Diceros bicornis minor: one gene and its partners. The protein of the gene in region 3 interacts with the protein of the main gene of each other region in a pairwise test. Links are inferred from orthologs where the notes say so. Each region holds a gene or a part of one and is shown on either strand. Other genes may lie near its edges.

Region 1 (7,911 bases), on a different chromosome or scaffold from region 3:
TGGCCTGAGGGGAATCTGGGCCAGACCTGCCCCTTGGTGCCCCCGGCCTGGACCCCTCTGCATTCCTGCTCTCTGGCGGGGCAGGTCTGGTTTCCATCACGCTCAGCCTCTCCTCCCCCGCCCAGGCGGCCACACCGGAATTAAGAGGACCTCTAGGAAGCACGCGAGAGGCCAGCTGTGGCCCCTGGCCGGTTAAGGAGGGGCATATCCCGTGGCCCCTGGACAGGGTAAAGGAGGGTCTTATGCAGAGACCCGGGGAGTCCTTTGCCTGTGAAGACCTCTGTCGGGAAGACCAGGTGCAGCAGCAGTTCTCTGGGTGGAGAGTCCCTGGCTGGAGACCCCGGGTCTGAGCCACAGGTCTTCAAGGGAGGCCCTAAGGGGCATGCAGGGTGGGACTTGATCTCCACTCACAGGGAACAGCTCGGAGCTCCATCCTGAAGAAATGCGTCAGAAGCCAGTGGGACATTTAACAGCCCCACATGCTGGGTCTCCAAACACGGGGCTCCCCACAACATTGCCCAGTGCCCACCATGTTCCTGGCATGGTGCTGGTTGTCCTTGGCATAGACCGAACAGAACCCATGGACAAAGAGAGAGCTAGAGATGAAAACAACCATCCAGGATACTGCTTTCACACTTTTAAAATTGTGACCTACCATAAGTCACATTTTACTATGTACCCTCATCCTCACACATTCTCTCTCCTTCCCTCCCTTTCTCCCTCCCTCCCCCTCTCCCCCTCCCTCCCCCTCTCCCCCTCTCTCCCCCGTCCCCCTCTCCCTCCCTCTCTCTCACTCTCCCTCCCTCTCTCTCTCTCTCCCACCTCCCTCTCCCTCCCTCCCTCTCTCTCCCCCTCTCCCTCTCCCCCTCCCTCCCTCCCTCTCTCTCCCTCCCCCTCTCCCCCTCTCTCCCTCTCTCCCTCTCCCTCCCTCCCTCCCTCTCTCTCTCCCCCCCCCACACACACAATGGAAGCAAAAGCTTCTTGAAACAATCCTTACCCTGCTGTGGGTGAACCCTTCTGATAGTTGACATTCTGTTCTGTTTCATTAAAAAACTGTGCAAATCACCACCCAGTACAATGACTAACGAGTCACAACTTGTTCTTTGAAAAACACTAAACCCAAGGATCTTAATCAATGGTGTGAATACGCCCCTTAGGGGAGGGACCTCTGGTTGGGGTGAACTTGGACCAGGAATCCTGAACTTGAGTTTCCACCTCTGTAAATCAGGTGCACCCACTGACCTGGTGTGAAAGTTGAGATGCAGAGTGCCCCCACATAATAGATGCTCAACAAATGGAATTCCTTTCCCTGAGGCAGAGTGTGCTTTGGGGGGGGGGGTATAGACAAGGGTGACCCCTACACGTCCCTGCATCCGGTTTGCACATCACTTAGAGGTGCCTCTCTAAGACCGTTTAGAGTTTCCCTGGGTACGGGGTCTCAGAGACTTTCCTCCCGGTTTACCTCCCTGCCCTCCCTCGCCCATTCCCTAACCCCGGCTCAGCCTCCCCAGCAGTGGTTTCTCCTGCTCCAGCTCCTGAGCATGGACTGATTCCAAGACCTAGGGAGCAGGCCAATGGGCAGCCTGAGAGGTGGTTGGGGCTTTGGTCTCTAGGGAACGAGGGCATGCTCATTTTCTCCTCTCTCTCTTCTGGGGAGAAAGTGGGTGGGCAATGCTAGTAACCTCCTGCTTCCTGTCTTTCAGATTCTTGGGGCCACCATTGAGAACTCCAAGATTGTCCTGCAGATCGACAATGCCCGTCTGGCTGCGGATGACTTCCGCACCAAGTAAGCGCCTCTGCCCTGGAGGGCTGCAGAAGCCGGGGCAGGGAAGGAGGGGCAATCCCAGGCCCTTTTGGGGCTCAGTGCAGTGGGGGGACTGGGCCCTGCCCTCACCCACCCCAGCTGGTCTGAAGCAACTCCTCCCCCACCCCATAGACTCCTAAACCCTGGGGAGGTGGGGAAGTCTTCAGAGGTGCAGAGGAAATGCCGGCCTGACTGCAGCTATTGCCTCTGAAAGGTTTGAGACGGAGCAGGCCCTGCGTTTGAGCGTGGAGGCCGACATCAACGGCCTGCGCAGGGTGCTTGACGAGCTGACCCTGGCCAGAGCCGACCTGGAGATGCAGATTGAAGGCCTGAAGGAAGAGCTGGCCTACCTGAAGAAGAACCACGAAGAGGTGTGTTTCAAGCTGGGCCTTCCATCCTTTCCACCCTAGCTTCCCAGGGCTGAGGATATTTTTTTATGCTGTATCCTCTGACTGTCGCCATACTTGCTGCACCCTCAGCATGGCCCTGGGTGCAGAGTGTGGCTCCCAGGGTTCCAGCAGGGAGTGGTGGCAATCCAGTCTATCCCCCCATGCTGCCTCCTAGGTCTGCACCTGAAAACCAGCCCCCTTAGGCGTGGGGGCCGGGGGCGTGACCTGGCCCAGACCCAGCAGGCTCTGGGCTCTGACATGCCCACTCTGCTATCTTTCCAGGAAATCAGTGCCCTGAGGGGCCAGGTGGGTGGCCAGGTCAGTGTGGAGGTGGATTCTGCTCCAGGCGTTGACCTAGCCAAGATCCTGAGCGACATGAGAAGCCAGTATGAGGTCATGGCTGAGAAGAACCGGAAGGATGCTGAAACCTGGTTCATCAGCAAGGTATGAAGAGGGAAGCAGATGCCCTTTGGGGAGGTGATCAGGAGGGAGGGCTTGATGCTCCCAGGCAAAGTTCTGGCTCAGGGCTTATTCCTTCCACCTCCTCTCTTATTGCAGACTGAGGAGCTGAACCGGGAGGTCGCTGGCCACACAGAGCAGCTGCAGATTAGCAAGACGGAGGTCACCGACCTGCGGCGCACTCTCCAGGGCCTGGAGATCGAGCTGCAGTCTCAGCTCAGCATGGTATGTGCCCTCAAGTCCTTGCAGGCTTGGGTAGCCTGGGTGGTGGCGTGCCCATTTCCCCTCTGGGAACCATGCTCTGCTGAGTCTCCTTCCCTCTCCCTGCCCTCAGAAAGCTGCCCTGGAAGGCACGCTGGCAGAAACAGAGGCTCGCTTCGGAGCGCAGTTGGCACAGATCCAGGCTCTGATCAGTAGTATTGAAGCCCAGCTGAGCGACGTGCGTGCTGACACCGAGCGGCAGAACCAGGAGTACCAGCAGCTCATGGACATCAAGACGAGGCTGGAGCAGGAGATTGCCACCTACCGCAGCCTGCTGGAGGGCCAGGACGCCCCCACCCTGCTTGTGGGCCCGGGCCGCCCCTTTGACAAGCCGCCACCCCCCAATGCCCACTGAGTCCGGCAGCCTCCTGTGGAGGGATGCCCCTGAGTAGGGGCATGGGAGGGGAGGGATCTTTACTGTGGCTCTCCCTCTGATCTGCCAATAAAATTTTATGGCCCAAGGGAGGAAGGACATTGGGTTTGTTATTTCAGCCCATGGAGATGGGCCAGGCCTTGGCACTGTTCAGGTTTTATTTGGATCAGAGTCCACCCTGTCCAAGGAAAGGGACGGGAGTGCGCTCACAAACTCTGTTAATTGTGATTCCTGTTTGCAGAAGTCTTCGTTTATCTCACCTGTTCCCTAAAACAACCTTGTGAAATAGGCATTGCTTCCATTTTACAGAGGGGTAAACTAAGGCTCAGAGAAGTGAAGTGATTTGTTGTATGTATAACTATTCTAACACACGGCAGAGGTGGGATTTGAAACTGGTTTTGCTTCCAGATTTCGTTTTCTTTACACTGTGTTCCCCCAAGGGTTGGTGTGTGTGTGTGTGTCTGAAATTAATGTTTACTGTATACCTACTATGTGCCATTTAATCAACATAAAAAGGTAGATAGTATGAGTTACATCTTATAGAGTGGGTAAAGTAACTTGTCCAAGGCCACACAGCGACTACGTGGCAGAGCCGGGACCAGAATCTAGGGTTCCTGCTTCTCTTTTTTTTTGTTTTTGTGAGGAAGATTAGCCCTGAGCTAACATCTGTTGCCAATCCTCCTCTTTTTGCTAAGGAAGACTGGCCCTGGGCTAACATCTGTGCCCATCTTCCTCTGCTTTATATGGGATGCTGCCACTGCATGACTTGACAAGCGGTGCATCGGTGCGTGCTCGGGATCCAGAGCCCAGGCTGCTGAAGCGGAGCGCATGCTCTTAACTGCTATGCCACCGGGCTGGCCCCAGGGTTCCTGATTCTTAACCACAGTGTCACCCCTGCACCCCTGTGTCCTAGGATCCACCCTGCTTATGCCAAGTCCTCAGTACACTCCAGTCTTGCTCCATGTGAAGGCCTAGGACCAGGATCCCCTGAGGCAGTTCACTTAACTGAAGGAGGAACTGCGGCTTTGGGGTCAGAGCCTGAGTAATGGGGGGGGCAGGCATCCGCTCAGAGTAAGGCTGGAGAGGGTGCATCTGCCGGTGTGCGTGCACTAACACATTCATCCATGTCCCGGGCAGCCCTGCATAAGCCCCTATGCCCACCAGCCATGCCTGGGCCCAGAGCCTGGAATGAGACCCAGACCTCCCACACAGACCCCCAAACTGGCCTGCCTTGGGCTGGTTCCGGGCCAGCAAAGGAACGCCGGTCCCAGCTTCCTGGTACTGCTCTGCCCTCAGGTGGGTCTGGTCCTGCCCCTGTGGTTTATAGCTTGGCTGCCAAGAACTGAGGCCAATTAAGGGTAAATAAGTCCTACTTCGCCCTGGCTGAGAGATTCAGGCTGAGGGAGTCTGTTCAGGCCCTGCAGATCTGTGTGACAGCAGGCCAATCCTGTAAGGGACACTGCTCCTTCCCCCAGAAGGTCTGCTATAGGGGAACAGATTGACTCTTGGCTAAGGAGGCCCGCAAAGCCGATCCTGAAGGAGGTCCCCTTTCCGCCGTTTCCCCTGGGCCTTGGAAAAGTTTATTAGCTTGCTCCGAATCAACGAATCAACGGGTGACCCCAGAGCCCAGCTCTTCCCTCTCCCTGCTGCAGCCCTGGGCCAGGAGCCCCTTCTGCCACGTCCCCAGCTCTTCTCCAGCCTCCAGCCCCCACAGCTCCCTCTCCTACTTAACTTCTCAGGAGGCCCTGGAGCCAGAGGCCAGAGGCCTGGCCTTACTGCCAGGCTGGGACTTCCCAGGATGTTTGTCCCAGTTCATGAAAGCCTCTGTTGTTGTCACAGCTGAAACCCTCCCCTCTGCCCCGAGGCTCTTAGAATGTGGCTGTAGGTCTGGGGCTGGGCCCACACAGGTGGAGCAGGTGACTGGGTCCCAGGTTTGGGTGTCAGGAATGAAGCCCTCCTTTGTGTGTGTGTGTGTGTGTTGGGGAGGTAGGGGTGAGGACACTTTTCTGTCTCAGTCTGAGAATTGAAACTAGGGGTGCTCTGTTGACAGAAGTGGCTGGGATAGAGGAGAGGGAGAGGGGGAGAGAGAAAGGGGAAGGGGACAGGGAGGTGAGGTCTTTCCACCCCGGCTGGTCATCATGACCAGTTCAGTTTGCAAAGCATTTCCTGTCAGTTCTCTGCTCCATCCCTGTGAGTCAGACTGGGCAGGAGTTATTTCCATTTTCCGATTGGCAGACTGAGGCTCAGAGATAGGAGGCTCCATTACCCCAAGCCACATATCTAATGAATGACAAAGGAGCAATTCTCCAGGCCCCAGATCATACGCTCTCTCTGTCCCCTGCATCTCCGTGGGGAGTGGGGGAGGGGGGTAGCGGATTCTCAGGTTTATGGAGGCACCCCTCCCCATGTGCCATTAAATGCTCACTGTGGCCCTGTAGCAGGGGTCAGTGTTAGTGACTCAATTATTTTTTTTTTTTCAAATTGTCATAAAATACACGTAACAAAATTTACCATCATAATCATCTTTAAGTGTACAGTTCTGTGGCGTTAAGTACATTCACGTTGTTGTGCAACCGTCACCACCATGCATCTTCATTACTCTTCCCATCTTTTAAAACTGAAACTCTCTGCCTATTAAACAATAACTCCCCATTCTCCCTCCCCTAGGCCCTGGCAGCCACCATTACACTTTCTATCTTCATGATTTTGACTACTCTAAGGCCTTATATAAGTGGAAAAATGTCCCAATTTTAAGTCGGGAACCTGGCTCAGAGAGGTTGTCACACCCAGAGGCGGAGTCCAGCCCAGGCTCTTTCCGCTGGGCTGCATCGTCCCACCCCAAGGACAGAGGCCGGCTCTGGGGACGGCCTGTCTGTCTGCTGTGGGCAAAGGACAGAAACTGGCACAGCCTCCTGGGCGGGCTGCCAGAGGAAGGGCCTGCAGCCCAGGCTGGGCCCAAAGGAGCTGGGTCTCCGCCCGTGCAGCCATCGCCACCTGGTGCTAATGAGCAGGCCCAGCCCCACCCAGACCTAGAGCTCACAGGAGCTCTTTAGGCTGAAACCAGGGATTTGTGACCGGGGCAGCTGCTGCCTCAGGCATGGGCCTGAGAGAGGAGGGAAAGCCACCTCGAGGGGCTTCTGGAGGGGAGTCAGGGTGCAGAAGAGGGGCTGGCTGGGGTCCAGTCCTGCCTCACCCTGGGTGATGGCGCATAATTTTTTCCATGTTAATTGCTGGGCCCTAATGACTACAGAGGCTTTAATGAGCTACGGCTGATCTGAGTTTGATTATTTTTCTTTCAGAGGAAAAGACAATATCCGCCCACCCATGAGACAATACAGCACTGTCAGGGCTCAGCACTGGGATGCTCGGACGGAGGCCTGGCTCACTGAGGGACAGCCCGTCCCCACTCCCCAGGCCAGCAGAACCAACACCACCCACCCCCCCGCCCCCAGCTACCAGCTCAGATGCACGAATCTGGGGTCTGTGGGAGGGACTCTTTTTTCCTGTCCTCTGTTTAAGTGGGGTCAGAGGACCCACTGGAGTCCTAGCGATGCCCCTTACTAGCTGTGCCACCTTGCACAAACTGCTTCCCCTCTCTGAGCCCCAATTTCATTTCTTTTGAAACAGGGGCAGGGATCGTCTTCTATGTCGTGAGGATTGGAGGAGGCGATGGATGCAAAAGGGCTCTGTTAAACCGTGAAGTGTGCGGTTGAAGGTAAGGGATTACTGTTGTTACAGCAATAATGGCAACCACCTGCACTGGGTGCCCAGTGGGGCTGGCTCTGGAAGAGCAATGCTGCAGGACGAAAGTCCCTCCTGGTGAGGGTACGCGGGAGTCCCAGGTACTGGACATGCACCCTGCTATCCGGCCCCCAGAAGATGGGGAGCCAGGATGAAGCAGGATGGGGGCCCTTGGGCCTCAGGGCCTCCCCATAAGTGAGAGCTGAGAGTGCCCCTTGCCACAAGGAAACAGACTTACAGGTAACACGTCCAAGGTTTCACAAGCAGTAACCCATAGAGCCAGGATTTGAACCCAGGCCTGAGGAACACCCGAGCGCTGTCCACTTCACCGCGCTGCAGCCCTGGGCCAGGAGTCCTCTTTCATCTCCAGCTTAGTCTTGCTCACCTCCCCAGCCTCACGCCTCCAAGTGGCACTGTGCACAGGTACCAGCTACCCCTGGAAAGCTGGCCCCTGAGCTGGTGACAGAGAAAAGGGCTCTCCTGAGTGTTTGACTCCCCTCTCTGGCCTCAGCAACCTGCTCTGTGAAGTGGTGCCTTGGCCTTCAAGATCTTCGAAGTGTCTTCCAGTCTGCCCACCAGGCCTCCATATTTCCTCCCTTCCCACAACGTTCAGGCACGTAGAGCCTTCTGGGCTAGGTCCCGCTCCAGCGCCACATCACTTTGCAGGACAAATGGGGTTAATCTGGCCCAGCTATGCAGCGACATGCCTCTCCCCGGAGGAGGAGGCAGGGGCTTCCCAGAACGTGTTCCAGTTTTATCTGCAGAGGTTTGCCCCGACGTGTTCCGGGAGCAAGCAAAGGTTCAGGGACACGTGCGGTCGGCAGGTGGCGGGAGGATCAATCAGCCCCGTGTCAACCCTGAGCCTGGTGGCTTTCGTCAGAGTG
Region 2 (7,949 bases), on a different chromosome or scaffold from region 3:
GCAGTCTGCCTGGTGGGAAGCAGTGGGTCTGGCTTGAGTGTTGACAACCATAATTCTCATTTTGCTGCTTTTGAGACAGCAGAAAAAAAAAGAAGAAAAGGCTGTCTTTTAAAAAAAAAAGAAAAGGGCAAGAGCCTTTAAGAGTTAAATTACACAACTCCCTTTTTATTTTTAAAGTCAGTGGATTCCTTGTTGCTGTTGCTGAAAAAGATAAATTGATACCACATGTTGCTTCCAGACAAAACCCTCTCTGTGTTCCAGGGGAAGCACATGCAGCTGGTGTCTGGGTTGGTGGACAGTCTCCACACGGTAAACACAGTTTGGAAGGGGCTGAAGCGGACACAGGGTAGCAACAGTTAAGAAATTACCAGTTACTCCTGACTGGCACAGCATCTTTGAAATTCTTTTAAGAGTTTGAAATCTTTTCCTGGAAGGAGCCGCCCTCACACCTTTTGGCTTAAAGTATATGGTGCTCGGAAAACAGTAAGTGAACATTTGTGATGTCACTGCTTCCGTATGTGGGATCTGACAGTTGAGAGCCTCTTTTGTGCTTGGCACTCCAATGAGTACTCTGCATGCGCAATTTCATTTACTCTTTCCAAATATCCTAGAGTTAGGCAGAGAGGGTGTTTTTATCCCCATTTTATGAAAGGGGCAACCAAGGTTAAGTCATTTGCCCAAGGTCGCAGGACAAATGCCAGGGCCAGGATTCCGACTCGGATCTGGCTGACATCAAAGCCTGCGGTCTTTCTTCGGCATCACGCTGCCTCCCTCCGTTGGCCTCCTTAAATGCATGTGTGAATTATCCACTTTGTAAAGTATTGGTGGAATACTTTTTCGTTTCAGGCAGCTTCTCTCCAACACCTAATCTGATCTGTTTTGGGTCCATCTGTCTTCACAACCAGTTGGCATATATGTAATCACTATGTGCACTTTAGCATTAGCAATAAATGCATCTTGCAGTAGACAGCTGCCTTCAGTATAGCAAGAAAAATAATTACCAGATTCTGATGTGTACAGTCATCTTGATGCTAATTTCTTCGAGGAGGGCCAAGCGAAGGGATCCCTAGCCTGTGGCCCACATGAACCACAGTAAGCATAGCGTGACTGTGGAAGGAGAGTTGCCTCATGCTGCCTCCTACACACTGCTGCACATACCTTGAAATATTAGGCCACTAATTGCAACTGCAATCACAAAGGACACCATTTAGCCAGTTGTTACTAATTAACTACACCTAATTTCTGTCCCAGAGCAGAGCTTGCTTCTGTGTAAATGGTTTTGTAAAAGAGAAGATTGAGGGGGCTGGCCTGGTGGCATAGTGGTTAAGTTTGCACACTCTGCTTCAGTGGCCCGGGGTTCGCAGGTTCGGATCCCCAGTGCGGACCTACGCACAGCTTATCAAGCCGTACTGTGGCAGGCGTCCCACATATAAAGTAGAGGAAGATGGGCACGGATGTTAGCCCAGAGCCAGTCATTGTCAGCAACAAGGAGAGGATTGGCAACAGATGTTAGCTCAGGACTAATCTTTCTCACCAAAAAAAGTAAGTAAGTAAAGAGAAAATGACATAAAAATGAGATGAAGAGTATTCTTATCTCTGCTCTCTCTTCAGACACGTTGTGATGGAGTTGCTTTAAGGGTTCCCTAAATCTTTGGATCCATGTTGGAGAAAAACTGGTATATTTATCCCTGAAGCTCAAGTTTCTTTCTAAAGATGGTGCTTTCTTGTAATTCATCAGTATCCTGATTTCTTGGTAGTGGATTTGACTAACCGGAACTATTCAACATGGTCTGGGGTTGAGGTTATAGTTGCTTCTTGGTGCCTTTAGTTAGTAAACTTGATGACAGAATGGCCTGAGCTCTAGCAATAGGAGTCTTGGTTGGTAATATTTACCTTTTCGCCTTAGCCTTAAGGAGAGCACATCCCTGGTACTTCAGCCAATTAACATTGGCCTGCCTCACAAGGTGTTTCAAAATGTGTATTTAGATGTGATCAGAAAAACCACTCTAGTCCTATCAAACCATTCCTCCTTTACCTTCAGCTCCTGATCCCCAAACTAATGTAAAATCTTAGAAATTTAGACTATTTGGTAAGATGATATATGAATTAGTGGAAAACCATAGAATATTTTTAATCTGGTAGTTTTATAGTTTAAAATACACATAGTACATTAGAGACTAATTGACAGAGCCTAATGGAGAGGTCTTTAGAAAACTTAAACTATAAATCATAAGAGGATTTTACAGTTGGCTTGCCTATTTTTATAAATCCCACTTCTTTATTCCTGGGATTGAGGTGAGGGAGGAGCAGTTTGAAATCTTACAGAAATCATATCATCATTAGTTTTTGTCATCAGGGAAGGTGTGGAGAAACATTGCAGTTCTGACATTTTATCCAGCATTTATTTATTTACCTTTTCCTGCTTCACCAAAATTTAGATAGAGAAGCTAGTGATTAGAATCACGACCTATGAGGGAAACCAGAATACAGTTCTGGCATCTGACCTTGTCAGAGTGAGGGGCCATATTTGTTAGCTTCTGTCAATGCCCTGCCTTCAGATAATGGATTTTGTAAATGGAAGGCTGGCCAGCCTGTATGGATAGAAGGCTGCTAAGAAAGGGGACTATGAGGATGGTGGTGGCACAGTTTCTGTTTGTGTTGTCTCAGTAATGTAACTGGAAAAACCTGTCTGAGTGTTGTGTAGGTAATACACCTCAGGGAATGTATTCTGCCACTAATAACCTCTAAAACAAGAATAGAGCAAATATTGGACACCGAAGCTAATCACCCGTGTAATAAGTTGGGTTTTGTTTCAGAATGGTAACCACTGCCCTCTCCTTAGAGTGAATGCTGTGGTGGGCACCTTAGCAAAGAAAGCATCTGCTCAAGTGAGCCTTCACTTATAGGTTTGCTCTTCTGAAAGACAGGCTTTCTTTTAAATTTTTTTTTTTTTTTTTAATTTTAGAAAAGACCCACCAAATTATTACCCCTAACTATTTTGTAAACAAAATTGCAGTAATAAGATTGTGCTTTTGTATCTTTCTTTCATAAATGTTTGTTTCTTTAAATGTTAGCACAGATAGGTTAAACAATGACTTCTACATAATTTGGTGACAGACCTTTGGTTCTTATAGACACTAGCTGTGTGACCTTGTGTGAGTTATTTAATATCATCTCTCAGCCTGAGTCTTAAGATATATGATGAGGGCACTGATGCCAACTTTGCAGGTTTGTTATGAGGATTAGAGACAATGAATCTAAAGCCTATGGCCCAGTACCTGCTGGTGCTGTAATCAGGCAGGCTCTCCGTTCTTCACCCTGGAAGTTAGGGCCTGGGCTCTGACCCCTGCAGATCTGTTCCTAGGTATGGGGATGCCAGCCCCTCTACCATGTACCCTTACAGAAGCTTAATTTTTATCTCCAAATTTTAACCAATTGTAGCTTTTCATTTTATAAAATTACACGTATACATTGTCGGGGTTTAGAGTTGTAGTAATAGATGACCATTAGAAAATTCATACAGGGCATTTTGGAGATCTCTAAATTATTTCTTTTTTTTTTTTCTCAGTTTGGAATTGGTTAAATTAAAAATACATTTTTAAGAAATATTGTTCCCTAAATGCTTTTTAAAAGGAGGATAACTGGATACTTATGATTGGTCATTGTTAATTCTGAATGTTGGTCTGAACTCTTTCCAAAATCTGGAGCAGAGGGGCCTGGCCAGGGTGGGGGTGACTGGACCAGTGTCCACGTGGCCCCGCATAGCCTCAGCCTATTTTTCCACCAAGAAGATGAAGCTTAAGTTTTTGTTTAATATATCTAGTCGTGTGAATACTCAATAGTAGAACCACCTTGCACTTGCCTGCTTTGTGAATCCCACCAAGTGAGTTTTAAGAGCATGCTTCAAATCCATTTTACAGAGACAGTGTTTTACTTTTTAAAGAAATGTAATTTCTGAACCATTAGTAGAGATGCCATTATTCTTTTAAGAACCATACGAGTGAAAGGGAAGCAGGATATATAGTCTCCTGGGCAACATTTGTCTCATCAGATACAGGCCTGTTGCCTGTTTGCTTCTCACAAATGCATCTTTATGGCCACCGTAGAAATGCCAACTTTTGACCCACGGTTGTTGACGCTCACTGCCCAGCCTGAACTGTAGGCCTTCCTTGCACAGAAACATAGACGTGGGAGGTACTGTGAGTATTTTGGGTTATTTACTTATGGTAACATCCCGCTGACTTGCTGTGTTTTAAAAACATTCTGGTAGAACACATGTATTTGTATCTTCTACATAAATACAGTTGGCGATTGCCAATTTTTTTAAAACTATGGGAACTTTTAGGATTGTTCGTATTTAATGCACAGCATCAGGCAACATCTTATGTCTTTAACTTGCAAATAAAAACTCATCTGGCCTGCAGGTGCTGTTCCAGATGTGGAGAATCCATCGACTCCTCTCTCTTATTCCACGTGAGGCATTTTACAGATTAAAAGGAGCTCGCACAGGTGGTGAGCTCTCTCCACCAGGGACTCGGTGCTTTCTAATAGCGTAAGAACACTCTGATTTCGTACGTGACTGGCTCCTAAAGTATCTTATCATATATCATCCTTACGTCATCCCTGTCAGGGAGGGGTGATTTGGATGCTATTAGGGCTGTAATGAAGATGGAGAACTGGAGTTATTGCAGATGGGTTAAGTGATTTGCTCAAGGTCACATGGTTGGTCACAGACAGAGATGGGACTGGATCTGGGTCATGCTGTCAACTGGGCTTATCTACCAAGCCAGGAGGAGGATTCTTGCAAGATGGGTGTAGTCATTAGTGTTTTGAAGCTATTTTTCCCTATTTCTCTTTTCTTTTTTTGTGAGGAAAATCAGTCCTGAGCTAATATCTGCCAATCCTCCTCTTTTTTAGCTGAGAAAGACTGGCCCTGGGCTAACATCCATGCCCATCTTCCTCTACTTTATATGGGACGCCGCCACAGCATGGCTTGACAAGCGGTGCATCGGTGCACGCCCGGGATCCGAACCGGCGAACCCTGGACCGCCGCAGCGGAGCGTGCGCGCTTAACTGCTTGTGCCACCAGGCCGGCCCTCTCTTTTCTTTTTTAATAAACCTTTTAATTTAGAAGAGTTTCAGATTTACAGAAAAGTTGCAAAACTAGAACAGAGAGTTCTCATATACCCAACATTGTTTTCCCATATTGTTAACATCTGTTAGCTTGGTACATTTGTCACAATGAATGAACCAATATTGACACATTATTATTAACTAAAGTCCCTAGTTTATTCAGACTTCCTTCATTTTTACCTAATGTCCTTTTTTTGTTCCAGCCTCCCACCCAGGATACCACATTATGTTTGGTCATCATGCTTCTGTAGGCTCCTCTTGGCTCTGATAGTCTTGAGGAGTACTGGACAGGCATTGTATAAATGTCCCTTAATTGGGATTTGTCTGGTTTTCTCCTGGTTAGACTGGAGTGATGGATTTTGGAAGGAAGGTGCCATTTTCATCACATTATTTGAATGCATGTCATCACCATGACTTATCCTGTTGATGTTCCCCTTGGTCACCTGGCTGAAAGAGTGTTGGTCGGTTTTCTTCAGTGTACAGTAACTCTTTTCCCGCCTTTTTGTACTGTTCTCTTTGGAAGGAAGTTAACTATGCTCAGACCACATTGCCTTGAGGGGAGAGTATCTATAAATTATTTGGAATTTTTCTGAATGGGAGATTTGCCTGCTTCTTCTGTCATTGCTGCCATTTTTTCCTTAAGCCTGCCAGACAGGTATGACATTGTGGCAGGAGGAGACGGAATCATAGAAAGGATAGGTTAAAAATGCACTCCAGTTCTGAGCTCATAGAAGTTAAGAAAAGGTAGATGCTGCTTCTATGCTGGTGGAAGAGGGGACGATGAGAGAATAAATAGCCCCTGGGTGATTCATTATCCTAGAGCCAGGGAGGTGTGTGGCGAAGTGCGGGGAGAGGGTGGTGTGGTAATAAATTATAAGTGTGAACTTCAGAATAGGAAATACAATTACAGAAAGGACAGCAAAACTTAGGAATTTGGGGAAAACAATGTCAGTGAGCTTATACATTCCCAGCATCTCCTGGATATGAAACCATCACCCACCTCCTAAATATAAAACTTGCCGTTTACAATGTTGTCATTTAACTCCAAGCCAAGGCGGGTCCTGCAGCTGTTTGTCTTTTTTTTTTTTTTTTAAGCCTCTGAAATTGAGGAGTTTTTAAAAAATGAGTCCGATTAACTGTTTCTTCTCGGTACTCAGTTTGCAACATTCAGGCTCATCTTCTGCATTTTCCCTTCTCTCTGCAGAACTCTATCCGGCACAACCTGTCGCTGCATAGCCGGTTCATGCGGGTCCAGAATGAGGGGACTGGCAAGAGCTCTTGGTGGATCATCAACCCTGATGGGGGGAAGAGCGGGAAGGCACCCCGGCGGCGGGCCGTCTCCATGGACAACAGCAACAAGTACACCAAGAGCCGTGGCCGTGCAGCCAAGAAGAAGGCAGCCCTGCAGACAGCCCCCGAGCCAGCAGACGACAGTCCCTCCCAGCTCTCCAAGTGGCCTGGCAGCCCCACATCACGCAGCAGCGATGAGCTGGATGCATGGACGGACTTCCGCTCACGCACCAATTCCAATGCCAGCACAGTCAGCGGCCGCCTGTCACCCATCCTGGCAAGCACAGAGTTGGATGATGTCCAGGATGATGATGCGCCGCTTTCCCCCATGCTCTACAGCAGCTCAGCCAGCCTCTCACCCTCTGTAAGCAAGCCATGCACCGTGGAGCTGCCACGGCTGACCGACATGGCGGGCACCATGAATCTGAATGATGGGCTGGCTGACAACCTCATGGATGACCTGTTGGATAACATCACGCTCCCATCGTCCCAGCCATCGCCCCCCGGAGGGCTCATGCAGCGGAGCTCTAGCTTCCCATACACCACCAAGGGCTCCGGCCTGGGCTCTCCCACCAGCTCCTTTAACAGCACGGTGTTCGGACCCTCGTCTCTGAATTCTCTGCGTCAGTCTCCCATGCAGACCATCCAAGAGAACAAGCCAGCTACCTTCTCTTCCATGTCACACTATGGCAACCAGACACTCCAGGACCTGCTCACTTCGGACTCACTCAGCCACAGTGATGTCATGATGACCCAGTCAGACCCCTTGATGTCTCAGGCCAGCACCGCTGTGTCTGCCCAGAACTCCCGCCGGAACGTGATGCTTCGCAATGACCCAATGATGTCCTTTGCCGCCCAGCCTAACCAAGGGAGTTTGGTCAATCAGAACTTGCTCCACCACCAGCACCAAACCCAGGGCACTCTCGGTGGCAGCCGTGCCTTGTCGAATTCCGTCAGCAACATGGGCTTGAGCGACTCCAGCAGCCTTGGGTCAGCCAAACACCAGCAGCAGTCTGTCAGCCAGTCTATGCAAACCCTCTCAGACTCTCTCTCAGGCTCCTCCTTGTACTCAACTAGTGCAAACCTTCCGGTCATGGGCCATGAGAAGTTCCCTAGCGACTTGGACCTGGACATGTTCAATGGGAGCTTGGAATGTGACATGGAGTCCATTATCCGTAGTGAACTCATGGATGCTGATGGGTTGGATTTTAACTTTGATTCCCTCATCTCCACACAGAACGTTGTTGGTTTGAACGTGGGGAGCTTCACTGGTGCTAAGCAGGCCTCATCTCAGAGCTGGGTGCCAGGCTGAAGGATCACTGAGGAGAGGGGAAGTGGGCAAAGCAGGTCAGTGCCCAGTGCTATGGCATGATAACCCAGTGGGGATGGTTGGGGGAGGCTGTCTTTTATTTGCTTTGAACTTGACTCCACATTGAGAATTTGAGAACCGTGGAGCGGTGGTGCACAGTAACATGGCTGCCGCCAACCAGTTCATCTCCAAGTTTTACCTGCAAAACAAATAGGGC
Region 3 (7,057 bases):
TTTGCATTTACTGAGCAATCTGACTGAGTCGGTTTGCTATAATCCAATATGGAATGCCATGTACTTGCGGCCCTCAGCAAGGACTCGTTAACTTGGAAGGAAATGCTTTTTCTCTCACCCATTTTAATTCACCAACTTTATTACCAAATGGTGCAATAAACAGCTTCACTCTCTTCATCACTGGAATTTCTTTATCCTGACCTCTACGTGTTGGGTATACTCATCTATACATAACTTATGCCTACTCTGAACTTGGAGAAAGGGTTGGGAAAATGTTTGGGGGTGGAATATTTTCGTTTCCCCTTGCTACTGTGACAATTTACCACAAATCTAGTGGCTTAAAAACAACACAAATTTATTATTTTACAGTGTGGAAGTCAGAAATCCAAAATGAGTTTCACTGGGCTAAAATCACGATGTCGGTAGAACTGCATTTCTTTGGGAAGATCTTGAGAAGAATCCATTTCCTTGCCTTTCCCAGCTTCTAGAAACTTCCCGCATTCCTTGGCTTGTGGCCCCACGTCACTCCGACCTCTTTTGGAGTCATCAACTCTCCTTTTCTGACTCTGACCCTCCTGCTTTCCTCTTTCCTTTGTAAGGACCCTTCTGATTACATTCAGCCCACCCGGATAATTCTGGATAATCCCCCCATCTCATGATCCCTTATATCTCTAACTTAATCACACCTGCAAAGTCTCTTTCACCATGTAAAGTAACATATTCACAGGTTCAGGAGACTAGGATGTGAAAATCTTTCAGATAGCATTATTCTGCCTACCACAAGGGGGGTGTCACAATGCCCAGCCTGTACCAAGAGCAGACACTGATGGAGGAATCTGCTTTGCAAAGTATGGGAACACGTTCTCCAGAAACAGAAAGAAAAGGGGAGTGGATGCAGGTTAAAAGAAAGAGGCATTTTATGGTGAATGAGGAGGAGGTGCTTTTCCTGGGGAGAATTAAGGAGCAGGTTGAGAGCTTGGAAACAGTGGGAAAGACTTGGAAAAGCTTCCAAGTCTTGGAGGTGGGGAGTCTTGGGTGTGTACGGTGGGAAAGCCTCCAACTAAGGAAGAAAAAGCAGACTGCCTCCCCCAGGGCTTACCTGAGATGGGAAGGCAGTACCTGAGACTAGAAGGCAGTCACCTGAGTAAGAGGTGGGATCAGAGGTCCCTCCAGTTACCATGAACGTGAAAATGACACGAAACCCACAGCCTAAATAACCGTCTAAATTTTTATTTCAAATTTTACAAACAAACCAAACAATGACATCAGAATAAAAGTAGTTCTAGCACCTCCTTTTTGTTATGCCATTGTTTTTTGTTTTCCATGATTCCTTTAAGAAACCTGACACTAATTAGGCTAGCGTAAGAGGGGAAAAAAAGGAGATGAATCAGAAACCACACTGGAAATGAACCAAGAAATAAGAAAAACCGATCTCTGCCCAAAAGAACAACAATGGTGAAAAATCGTGCTAGCAAAGAGGCTGTATACTGAGAGTTTACATTTTCAAAAGGATGAAACATGGGGAGTCTGATAAGATCTATCAGCTGCTCCTCTTTTCTGAGACATTTGCCCAGGAGACTGCTACAGAAGCTTGGGTGTATTTCTCTCTTGCTGTGTCATAGGATGTGCCTCTACCCTCCCCGCCCCCTCCCTGCTCTCCTGCGGCCTCGGTGCCTGTGTGTGTGTGTGCGTGTGTGTGTGTGTGTGTGTGTGTGTTTGGTCTCTCTCCCCTGTAAGAACACAGCTGCCCGCCTGTCTCCTGCTGTTGCTGCTGCTTTGACTAGCTTTCTGCTGCCTCTTGCCTCTCCTTTCTCTTTCTGCTCAGCTCCTTGCCTTCTGGTAAGTGTGACAAACACTCCCCCAAGCCCTGTGAGAAGGTGTTGGGTGCGGTTTGTGGTGTTCGAAACTTGCACCTTTGAGATTGCCAGTGAACTGTTGAAGAACTTTCCATTGTTGTATTTATAATTAAACTGTGTTGCTCAGGAAGGGACGTGTGTGTGATAATCTGCTGGGACTGCCAGTACACGTGAAAAATTCTCTCAGAGGACAAAAAAGACAGGCAATAAAGTTTATAGAAGATAAAATTTAGAAATAATTTCTTGCTAAATTAATCAACATGGAAGGAGACAATTTAAAAGTAACAGAGGTGTTGGATTTTGTTTTTTTCCTCTTGTTGATTTATCTTGAGGCTACTTTTACGAATTGAGTTGTCCTGTGGTTTATAACAACTCAGTTATTCTATTTTAAAGCAAATGTGGAACATGAGTTTAAAGGATATCCACGGAATTAGTAGAAAAAACATCAATGATTATGGCCTCTGATGAATGAAGAATAGATCAAATACAAACAAAACACTTGCATTTAGACTAACGACACTAAAACTCCTCTAGACAATCAGTTTAAATTCCTTGCTTTGAAGTTTGGTTAACTTTAGATTTTATTTCATCCTAAGAAGCCTCCTAACACTTTAAAACCCACATCTGGATTTAAACCAGTAAATGTTTGCTGTTTTCAATTTGTATTAAAAAGTATTCTCTTCCTTTGATTTTCAAAGATGAAGTGCTAAATGCCAGGGCTCCTTTTAGAAGAGCTTAAAATAACTCCTGGCTGGACAGCAGGTGCCGTGTGTCTCTCTCCAAGTTCAGGGGAGGCGTAAGTTATATATAGATGAGTGTGCCCAACAAGTAAGTGTCGGGATAAAGAGATTGCAGTGATGGAGACAGTGAAGCTGTCTACTGCATCATTTGATAATAAAGGTGGTGAATTAAGATGGGCGAGAGAAAAAGCACTTCCTTCTAAGTTAATGAGTCCTTGCTGGGGGTCACAAGTGGGTGGCAATGTCTGTATGTTGAGTTTTCTGTTCTTGGTGTTCAAGCATTTGACATCAGCTGCCCTGAGGCTGGGGGGAGGAAGCTGTGCAGTGCACAGAACAGTGTGTTTTTGTTTTCGCTCTCAAGCCACACAGCAGCAAAACCTGTGCATTATGAGGACCCTGTCATATTTTTATGCTGCTAATTAGCAGCATCACCATTAAATATCACTTACAAATGAAACGCACCATAACTTAAAGGCCTAAGCCAAATCTATTACAACCCTAGAAATGGCAATAGCCATAAACTCTAGAACCCTTGACTCAGCTAGTCCCTTATCCCCTATTTCCAAAGAGCCCATATTATATCTGGGTTATTTCCCTAGTTCATTCCCTCCCTGTTCATTAAACATTGCTATTTCTTAAAAATTAACTTATCCTAGGGCTTCTTGACTGAGAAGGGAAGGTTGCAATGTTTTTTTCTAAAAGAAAGTTAGTTTTTATATTGGAACAAAAAATACGTTATAGAAATTCAAGGAATTATTATTATGAGTATCACCATGTTTTCATACTAGTTTGTGTGTTAACTTATATCTTCCCTCATTTTCTGTCTTATTTCAAAAACGATGCTAGTTTGAACCTCAAGAATAGTGTTTTCCTGATTGATAATTACACGTTACTCATCTGGGAAAAGGAAAATACCAGAAAAGCAACAAAGTATCTCCTGTAACCAGTATAATAATTCATTTACATCAATGTACTCATATTAATCAAACCTTCATTTATAGATTAAAATAGTTTAGGAATGTTATTGTTATGAATAATTTTAGTAAGTTCAATGGATTTTGCATTAAATGTTTTAACTTTGAAAAAAACAACATTTAAAATTTAAACATTTTAAATGTATACATCCATGTACTTCCAATGACTGTAAATCAACATAGAATTATATGAGAATTGCAACACAAATGGGCTATTCTAAGCAAAATGACAAATATGTCCACCAAAAAGACCAACACCAAAGTATGCTAAAAGACCCAATTTGGAAAAATGGCTTCCTACTGTTCCTACCTACTTAATTGCAATATTGATGGTTTGTGAAAGTACATTCACTCTATGTTAGAAACTGTAATTAGTAGGTATCCGTTTGAGGCTATCCTTACCATTTACATTTAACTAGGTTAACTACATAAAACCTGCTGGGCTTCCACTAGATTCTACTCCCGGTATGGAGACGAATCACTCTGTGCCACTCCCGGGGGACCCCCAATCGACACCTCCTGGGGACATTTCATCATTACCCGCTCAAAATGACCTGGAGAAGCAAGATGATCAGGCTTCCTCAACCCCACTCCGAGCATCAGAGGAGGAGGCAGGTGTGCAGCCTGAGCAGGGAGCTCATGATATCTCTGAAGAGTTGAATCGACAACTGGAAGACATCATCAACACGTACGGGCCTACTGCCGGCACGGCAGGGAAAGGGGGTCCCACCAAGGCCCAGGAACAGCCTGAGAACCCAGAACCACCTGACAATGAGGACGGGGATGGCGAGGAGGCCACTGAAGTGACGGAGAGAGAACCCGTGGCTTCTGGAGAGCCCCTCACAGCCAAAGAGCCTGCCAGCAATAAAGAGCAAAAATTGGAAAAGAAAATCCTAAAAGGATTAGGCAAGTAGTTATGTTCTAATGTATGACTTTTCTTTGAATTATTCCTAAAAGGGGCACTTCCTCTAGCCTTTACTAGAAGCCACATGTCATATTTGGATTACTACAATAGCTTCCTTTAGGATCTCCCTGCATCTTCTCTTACTGTACTTGTCCCCAGGCGTTTCCCCTAGATAGAGTTAAAGTGAACTTTCAACATGTCACCCACCTACCCTCTGTCCTCAATGGCTTCCCACTGCTCTTAGGACAAAGGCCAGAATTCTTAATACGGTCTTTCAGGCCTTAAGCATCTCTCCAGCTTTGTGTCCCATCACTTTACCCCACAACGTCCCCTTCCTGGACACTCTGCCCCTGTCACCACCACCACTGCTACAGCCTAACAGCTAGACATTCTGAACTTCTCTTTCAGTTCTTTGAACTGAAACATGTTCTTTGAACATGCCATGCTCCATCACTTACAGGGCCTGGGTCCCTCCTATTTTCTCCACCTAGAAATTCCTGCCCATTCCCCAGTTCAGCCCTTTGGACACTTAACTCATTTTTCAGCTCACAACTCAAATGGCATCTTTTTAGCCCAACCTTAGATAAAGTCTTCCTGTTTTCTGTTTCTATTGCACCATGCATCTTCCCTTCCTAGTGTCTATCAGCATTTGAGAGTATGCATTTACTTCTGTGATTATTTGGTTCATGCATGACTTCCCCATCAGCTCTTTTACCTCAAGAGCAGAGACTGTGTATATTTGGATATCACTGGATGCCTGGTGTCTAGAACAGTGGATGGCATATGTTAGATGCTCAATAAATGTTTGTTATTAGGATGAATGAATGAGTGAATGAATGAAAGGAAAACTGTTTAAAGCAAAGCTAGTGGAATCTGGATTTAAACAAAATATAAATATAGGGATGGTTCTGTATATAAAATGATTGTCAATTAGATCACTTAGTAGTATGTTCCATTACTATATATTCTTTTATTTAACAAAACTTAGGAAATGTATCAATTATAGAATGTCAAAAATTGCAGAAAATATTTTTACTCTGGTTAGTTAATTGGTTCAGCAAAATATTCATTAATGTCTAGTCTTCATGAGGTACTGTGCTAGGTGCACAAAGATAAATAAATCTTCAAGACCGTTTGGTTAAGGCACTCTAGGTATGGAGAGAGAAACAAACATGCAAACTAGTTGTTACATAGGGCAGTGTGAGAACAGGCACATGAAAATTGTTAGGAGAGCATGGTGGATTGTTTACACCAAAAATGGCTGTGAAAGAGGGTGAGAGAGTTAGTTCTCTAGCTACGAGTGAAAGCATGTTACTGCACACATGAGAGTCCCTCTGTCTTCCTTCCTTGGTGAATTTCCCTGTAGCACTCTCTACAAATGCCACCTCTGTGATACATTCTCTGACATGCCCAGGTAGAGGAAGCATCGCCTTCCTTAGTTCTCCATTAATTTTTCTACAGTAATCTTTTATTTACATGCCTACTTCCCAAGCTGGATGGAGAATCTATCAAGGGCAGTGACCATGTCTTACTCATTTCTGGAAGACAGTGTGGCAGAGTGAAGGATCACAGGTACTGGAGTGAGAACTGGGTTCAGACTCCAGTAACAGGTTATCTGTAAACCCAAAAGTATGTCTATGCTGACATAGGACATCACTATGATGCTTAAAACCCATTGTTGGCAATACTTTCAAGAAGGGCTGAAAGGCACATTCAAATAGCACACCTGACCTACCCAGCGTAAAGATTAAAATAACCCAACTAATACCAAATTCCAAATCGCAAGATTAGCATCACTCTAGTGTTCTGGAACTCTGGGAAAGAGAATGAAGTTGCTTTGTTTTACAGAGCCATTTTTCCTTCTCTATCAAAAGCATCTCAGCAATATCCCTTTGCATTTGTCATTGTTAAACTTTCCATAAGACAACACAAAGTCACGTGGCAGAGATGAATGATTTCAAGTGTACCTAACCAGGAAAGTTCTTTTGCTTATCACTCTAAAACTACTTCTATATAGGAATCTGTATGTGTTGTCTTGGGGGCATGGATATGAAGAAAGCAGAGGTAAAGTTCAAGATGACCACTACTCTGTCTTCCCTGAATTATTTCAAAATCTATGGTAACCTTATAATTACCAATAATCAAAATATTTTAGAGAAAGAAAAAACTCCACAACTTTAGTTCTGCCACTATCTACAGGTTACCAAATTTCAATTGAATGTGTTTGATCAGAACCAATGTTTGTGTATCAGAGCGCCCAGGTGGGTCCACCTAATTACATGTGTGTAAACTGCTGACCCTTCCTTGGCATTTCTCTGAATACTATCAGCATATTCTTCTAAACACTGTACCATTTCAGCTACATTATGAATTAAAACAACATTTTTAGGCTAATCAAAATATGACAATATTATTTCAGTTGTCCGCAAGGGACTTGAGCAGGCTTCTTGGCTGTTTATCAATTAAATGACACTGCACCATCGTCTAGACCAATGATTTTCAAACTTAAGTGTGCACTAGAATCAAGTACAGAATTTGTCAAAAATGCTGTTTCCTGAACACAGAATTGGTAGGTCTGGAGTG
Region 4 (6,844 bases), on a different chromosome or scaffold from region 3:
TTGGGCTGGATTTGAGATACAGATGACACAGACAGTAGAGCTTAGTGGTTACGTGTGCAGGAGTCTAGAGGCAGAATGTTAGGTTCAAATTCCGTTCCACCATTTCTCTGTAGAGCACGGTGGCTCCACGCCCCCGGCGGTGCAGTGCCATTGGTAAGAGCACTGAGTCTGGGGCCAGACCGCCTGGTTTTGAATCTCAGCTCTTCCACTTACCATCTGTGTGACCCTGGGCACATTTCTTAACCTCTCTGAACCTGTTTTCATCTGTAAACCCAGGACAACAACAATGTCTGCCTAACAGAGTAGATCTTAAATGTTCTCACCACAGAAAATAAGATAATTAGGGGCGGGCCGGTGGCGCAGCAGTTAAGTGCGTGCGCTCTGCTTGTGCAGCCGGGAGTTCTGCATGTTTGGATCCTGGGCGTGCACCGACGCACCGCTTGTCAAGCCACGCAGTGGAGGCGCCCCATATAAAGTGAGGAAGATGGGCATAGATGTTAGTTAGCCCAGGACTAATCTTCCTCAGCAAAAAAGAGGAGGATTGGCTACAGCGGATGTTAGCTCAGGGTTGATCTTCCTCACAAAAAAAGAAAAAGAAAATAAGATAATTATGTGAAGTGATTAACTAGCTTAAAGTATTAACTAGCTTTACTGTGTAATCATTTCACAATATATACATATATCAAATCACATTGTACACCTTAAGCTTATACAATGATTTATGTCAATTATATCTCAATAAAGCTGGGGAAAAAAGGGTTGTTATAAATATTAACTAATGCATACACATCAACTGCTTAGAACTGTGAATGTCTCCCACAGGTTAGAGCTTATATGTTAGTTGTTGTCATGGTATCTGCATCTAGGCAGTCTTTAAGCATCCATTATTGTTATATAATTCCATCATTATCAACAACAGCATCAGCAGCAGTATCTGGAGATTCTTAAACATCTCACCACAAAAAGCACATAAAGAGATCTTGGGATTTAAATCTAGCACAAATGTGTATCTGAATCACTCAGGTTTATTTTTTTCTGAACAAACACAGCTAGTAAGCCATAATTTGGGATCTGAACCTAGAGAGTCAGCCTGCAGAGCCCACACTATGAAGGACAACGCCTTAGGTGTAAGGTGCTTCCCCAAAGACTTGGCGGAACTGACAGGATGGCTGGGGAAAATTTTGATCGTAATAGATTATGGAATCAGAGGCCAAGAAAATCCTGAAAATTTGAAAAAAATAGGTCAAATCTGTCAGGTGAAATAATAAAATACAAGAAAGGAACAAGGGTGACAACTGCCACTGAGGCACATGAAAATACTGTACGGGTTTCCCCTGTTACTCGAAAGTTCCATTTACACCACTTCGCTTTTACGAAAGACCTACAGTAGTACCTGCTTTCGCTAACTGAAAGAAATCCGAAGTGGATTTTAGCTTTTATGAAAAAAGGCAAAAATGGAAAAAAGCGTTCAGCGTTTGTTTTTCAGTGAGCCATTATAGAGGCAGCGCACACCCCGAGCAGCAAGAGTGACGCCGCCAGACTCCTTCCTGGGGAACTATACTCAGTATCTCAGCATCAAGCTGCCATAGCTTTGAACTGTATCTGTGAGCATCTGCGCTTTATCTTGATTTAATTTGGTAGGTTATTTTTGGGTGTGGAAACGCTCGCAAAATTTTCCCATACAAATTAATAGTAATTGCTTCTTTGCTTTCCGCCATTTCGGCTTATGCAAGGTTTCATAGGAACGCTCTACTTTCCGATAGCAAGAGAAACCTGTAAGTCCTGTGTCATCCAGTTGGTAAAAGTGAGGATAATTAGTGGACCCGGCCATGCAAGATTTACGCTAAAAGCTAAGCAGCAGCCTTCTGTGGGGACGTCAGCTAAGACTCAGCCACCTCTGCAGGGCTTCAGCCTCGGCCGGCACAGAAGCTGCAGGGAGATTCCGGCAGCAGGAAGGCCAGGCCTCCGCTGAGAGAACAATGCTGACCGACTAGGAGTCTCTTCCAAAGGACCATCCCGAGCACACTGTGAAGTGACTCCCGTGGAAGGAAGTCCTCAGAGGCAGGAGCACAGAGGTCAGGAAGTGACTGCTGGGCCTCAGGGTCTGGGTGAGACTAGCCCCGTGTCCTCTCGTTCCTGGTTGTGTCTCCCCGACTCGGCTGTAAAACGGACTTGACGATACCCAGGCTTCTCTCCTGGGAGGGTTCTGAGGACGAAATGACACGAATGCCCTCACGGCCCAAGCCCAGTGCTTGGCGCAGACAAGTACTCAACACACGTCAGAATCAACGTGATTCAGAGCAGGGACGCCACCACCCCAGCAAACCTCGGTTTTAACAGATTCCCACCAACAAAATGACGCCTTCAAAGTGTCCCTTGAGTCATCCACTCAGTGCCAAATCTAGGGCAAGTTTTTAGAATACAAAGGGAGCAAGTTAAACGCAGCCCCTACCCTCCTATCGACGAGATATATGACTGTCCGCTTGGCTTCAAAACATATGCCCGTTTGGGAAACAAAATCAAATGTACCCTCAAATCAGGGAGATGCATTACTACTGGAAATGTGGGAAGCAATCTGTTACACATTTGCATAACATATGCACAATGTAAGTTCCAAAAGCATCTGGGGAAATGCAACGGTGAGGCACAGCTCCCTATGGGCCAGGCCTTCTCTGTCTACACCACCGACACTTCGGACAGGAGAGTGCCAGGCGAGCTCAGGGACGCGGGGACGCCCTCCCCACAAAGTGGCGCCGCCTCGGGCATGCAGTGCCCGTCTGAGCTCTTGAGGCCCAGAACCAGGAGTGGGGTACAAGTCTAGGTGCAGGCCCCTGGGGAGGGAGGGGATGAGTTGAGTACCTTCCAAGAGCCTCAGATACTGAGCCCTCTGTCCCTCCGACGAGTCCCTTCTCCTCCAGAAGGCAAGAGCCCTGGAAATAAACCGGAACATGGTCCCGTCGTGTGTGACACTGGGCGCGAGGCTTGCTTCTAAGTCTCTGCCTCCCAGCTGCACTCCGATCACGGCAGTTCAGAGATGGTGCCGGCTCCTTTGCACCGCCCAACCTCTCGCCAGAGGTCCTCACACAAGCCTTGACTGCGGCTGCCACTTGAGGATCCTCAGTGTTCCGGTGCCCACCATCCCGCCAATGGGGGCGTAGTGTGCTTGGTGGAGGCCACTGAGATGCAGTGGGCTGGTGGGCGGGACTTCGTGGCTCCTCCTTCACAGGCGAGGGTGAAAATATGGTGGCCCACCGAAAATCTCTTCCAGTCCGACCCCTTTTTGCATCTCGCAGGGTAGAGGGTCTCCTCTGCAGGCTTCTGCAGGGAGGGCCTGATGCCTCTCTTGGAAGGTGGTGCAGCAGCTCACCCACACAATGGAGGCAGGCTCCCAGGCTCTGGCTTGCAGGTGTCGAGCCCCCACTCCTCACTGCACTGCCTGAGTTCTTTTCTCTTCCTTTGCTTCTAGGCACCCTCTACCCACCCACCCCACAACAGCCCCACCTCCTCGCTCCTACACCCACTCCAACGAGAGTTCAGTGGTCAGCTCTAAGCAATGGCTTTCTGTTCAATGTTAAATGATATCATAATATTGTGAAAAAGGCAAACTTGCACATCTACTTGGGTCTCAAAACAGAGGCTGTGCCCCGCTCTGCTTGGAAGCTGGGGCCAACTGCGGCTTTATAGCAAAGCACTCATTATGGTCCTGAGAGACACATCTAAGTGTGATCTGGAGTCGAGGATGGCTAGGTGAGGAGGGTCAGGTGATGTAGCACCATGCAGGGAGTTTGGATTATATCACTACTATTTTCTTTTGGGAACCATGCAGACATCGTCACATTAAGAATATTAGGAGCCGCCTCATGGCGCAGTGGTGAAGTTCCGCACGCTCTGCTTCTACGGCTGGGGTTCTGGGTTTGAATTCCGGAGGCGGACATAACACCAGTTGTCAGCCATGCTAAGGTGGGGACCCACATACAAAATAGAGGAAGATTGGCAACAGATGTTAGCTCAGGGTGAATCTTCCTCAGCAAAAAAAGAAGAAGAAGAAGAAGAAGAAGAAGAATATTAAATGAGGATTTGGGTTGTCTTCAATGTACCACTTACCAAAAGTCTATTTCTAAAACATTTGTGTAGCTTTAAGAATCCCCATTTCTAGGTAACAGTAGAGACCATTTACTCGAGAATGTCTGAAACAAGAGTCAAATGTCTCCAGTGTGCCCTCAAGACTGTGAAAAACTTGTAGAGGCAGAGTATCCACTTCCCAAAGCCCACAAATAGGCAATTTAGTGGGTATTATTCTTTCAACATGATGGCCAGTCTAGGGCTCCTCATGGTCTCGGGATATAAAACACAAACCCGAATCAGCCTCTCTATCCCTTTTTCTTACCAGTATCCATCCTGCATTCCACATCACTTCCTAGGACCAGGGCTTTCCTTCTGCACCTTGAGGCCCCACCCACAGTACCCTGCATTCCTCCCATATACCCTCCCTCTCTCCAGGAGGCCCTGGCCAGCCAAGTGCTCTGGACCCTAGGGAGTGTCCTGTGGTGAAGGAGAGTAAAAGCATTTACCCATCTGTGATGGCGCTTTCTGAAGCCCGGGCCTGGCAGCCTCACTCCCCACCTCGCCAACCCTCCTGTTGTGGATGTCTTCTCAACCTCAGGTGATCCCAACTTCTCAGTTCTCCTGGGCCATTGGTTGCCAGAGTCCCTCACCTCCAGTACCCCCTTCTACACCACACTCACCGCCCACTGCCTCTTGGTCTCCTCAGATACATCACTCAGAAATCTTATCAGCCTGCTCTCTGGGGACCCTCTAATGCCTCATCCACCACCAAATCCCTTAAAATCCCTCCCTCTCCAGCTCATATACAATCACATCTGCTATTTTTACCAAGGTTGTTAAAGCTGCTGCAGGCTGGACGTATCTCTACCTGGTTCTGACAAGCCCCAGAAATAGCCCCAAAGTCCTGAGTGTGGGGCAGTGCACACTATCTCCATATTCGACTGGCCCTGGACACTGTGCAGCTTAATATCCAGGGCATCTAGTGGGCCCAGCTGTTCCCTCCCCATTTATCAGGTTAAGGAATTTCCTTTCTACGCTCAGTCTTTTGAGTGACTTTATCATGAAAGGATGTTGAATTATGTCAATTGCTTTTTCTGTTGAGATGATCATCTGGTTTTGGCCTTTATCCTATTAATAAGGTGTACAATATTGACCGATTTTCATGTTTAACCAAACTTGTGTTCCTGGGATAAATTCCACTTGGCTATTTTATGAGCTGAATTGTGTTCCCCTAAATTCATATGCTGAAGTCTTAACCCCCAGTACCTCAGAATGTGAGTGTATTTGGAGATAGGGTCTGTAAAGAGGTAATTAAGTGAAAATGAGGTCATTAGGATGGGCCCTGATCCAATATCACTAGTGTCCTTATAGGACAAAATTTTGACACAGACACAGATAGAGGGAAGACCATATGAAGACACAGAGAGAAAATCACCATCTATAGGCCAAGGAGAGAGGCCTCAGAAAAAATCAACCTCACTGACACCTTGATCTTGGACTTCTAGCCCCCAGAATTGTGAGAAAATAAATTTCCGTTGTTTAAGCCACCCAGTCTGTGATACTTTGTTATGGCAGTCCTAGCCAACTAATACAGTCATTGTGTACAATCCTTTTATATGTTCCTGGATTGGTTTGAGGATTTTTGTTTCTATATTCATAAAGACATTGGTCTGTAATTATTATTTCTTTTTCTTGTGATGTTTCTGTCTAGTTTTTGTATCAGGGTAATACTACTCTCATAAAATGAGTTGGGAAGTGTTCCCTCTTCTTCTGTTTTTTGGAAGTTTGAGAAGGATTGGTATTCATTCTTTAAGTGATTAGTAGAATTCACCAGTGAATCAATCTAGACCTGGGCTTATTTTTTTTTTTTTTTGTGAGTGTGAGAAGTGTTTTAATGACTAATTCAATCTCTTTACTTGTTATAGGTAGACTCAGATTTTCTATTTCTTTTTTATAAGGGTTTTGGGTTTTATTTTTAATTTTTTATAACAACTTTATTGAGATATAATTCACATACCATAGTATTCACCTATTTGAAGTAGACAATTCAATGTCTATTTCTTCTTCAGTTAGTTTTGATAGTTTTCTCTTTCTAGGAATTTATCCATTTCATCTAGGTCATCTAATTTTTTAGCATACAATTGTTCATAGAATTCTCTTATAGTCCTTTTTTTAGGTAGGGACGTCCTCTCTTTCATTCCTGGTTTTAGTCGTTTGTGTGTTCTCTCTTTTTCCTTGGTCAGTCTACCTTAACATTTATCAATTTTCTTGATCATTTCGAAGAACAAACTTTTGGTTTTATTGATTTTTCTCCATTATTTTTCTATTCTCTATTTCATTTATTTCTGCTCTAATCTTTACAATTTCTTTCCTTCAGCTTGCCTTGGGTTCAGGTCACTCTTCTTTTTCTAGTTTCTAGTTTTGCCCATGTTGTTAAAGCTGCTTCAGGCTGGACGTGTCTCTACCTGGTTCTGACAAGCCCCAGAAATAGCCCCAGACTCCCAAGGGCTATAACTTAACCCTTATTGATTTGAGAACTTTCTTTGTTCTTACTCTGCAATTTCTGAATTGATTCTCACCTAATACTCTTTAGTTGCTCTCACAATAAGGCCCAAGACCCCAGTGGGCCCTGGGGTTGGTGGCCTTCATTTTGGGCCCTTTACACTGGGTCAGCTGCCAAGGTGCCCAGGCATACTTTAGGTGCTCAGAGATACCAGCACTCTGAAAGTCTCCTACTAACACACACTGCCTTGAATTGTTTATTCATTCCTCATTTGTT

Evidence for each region.
Region 1: the proteins of TXLNB (region 3) and keratin, type I cytoskeletal 15 interact in binary tests that used the Homo sapiens proteins (3 or more experiments, as listed by UniProt). The two-hybrid records come from large-scale screens. The link is inferred for Diceros bicornis minor from reciprocal best matches to the Homo sapiens genes TXLNB and KRT15.
Region 2: the proteins of TXLNB (region 3) and CEP57L1 interact in binary tests that used the Homo sapiens proteins (3 or more experiments, as listed by UniProt). The two-hybrid records come from large-scale screens. The link is inferred for Diceros bicornis minor from reciprocal best matches to the Homo sapiens genes TXLNB and CEP57L1.
Region 4: the proteins of TXLNB (region 3) and CT55 interact in binary tests that used the Homo sapiens proteins (3 or more experiments, as listed by UniProt). The two-hybrid records come from large-scale screens. The link is inferred for Diceros bicornis minor from reciprocal best matches to the Homo sapiens genes TXLNB and CT55.

The regions. Positions count from the first base shown.
Region 1 is NC_080757.1:40,843,696-40,851,606, reverse strand, and holds the start of keratin, type I cytoskeletal 15, read left to right. Parts: upstream 1-4,894; 5' UTR 4,895-7,911. Other genes in the region: KRT19 (keratin, type I cytoskeletal 19), read left to right, coding at 1,704-1,786, 2,019-2,175, 2,476-2,637, 2,752-2,877, 2,987-3,268.
Region 2 is NC_080762.1:26,352,908-26,360,856, reverse strand, and holds the start of CEP57L1 (centrosomal protein CEP57L1), read left to right. Parts: upstream 1-4,936; 5' UTR 4,937-4,947; coding exon 4,948-5,061; intron 5,062-6,337; coding exon of another isoform or gene 6,338-7,735; exon of another isoform or gene 7,736-7,770; intron 7,771-7,949. Other genes in the region: FOXO3 (forkhead box protein O3), read left to right, coding at 6,338-7,735. UniProt on the Homo sapiens protein: Centrosomal protein which may be required for microtubule attachment to centrosomes.
Region 3 is NC_080778.1:19,217,700-19,224,756, reverse strand, and holds the start of TXLNB (beta-taxilin), read left to right. Parts: upstream 1-4,037; coding exon 4,038-4,476; intron 4,477-7,057. UniProt on the Homo sapiens protein: Promotes motor nerve regeneration. May be involved in intracellular vesicle traffic.
Region 4 is NC_080781.1:123,058,388-123,065,231, reverse strand, and holds the start of CT55 (cancer/testis antigen 55), read right to left. Parts: upstream 3,020-6,844; 5' UTR 2,951-3,019; coding exon 2,860-2,950; intron 1-2,859. UniProt on the Homo sapiens protein: Plays a role in spermatogenesis, possibly acting in the regulation of the autophagy pathway.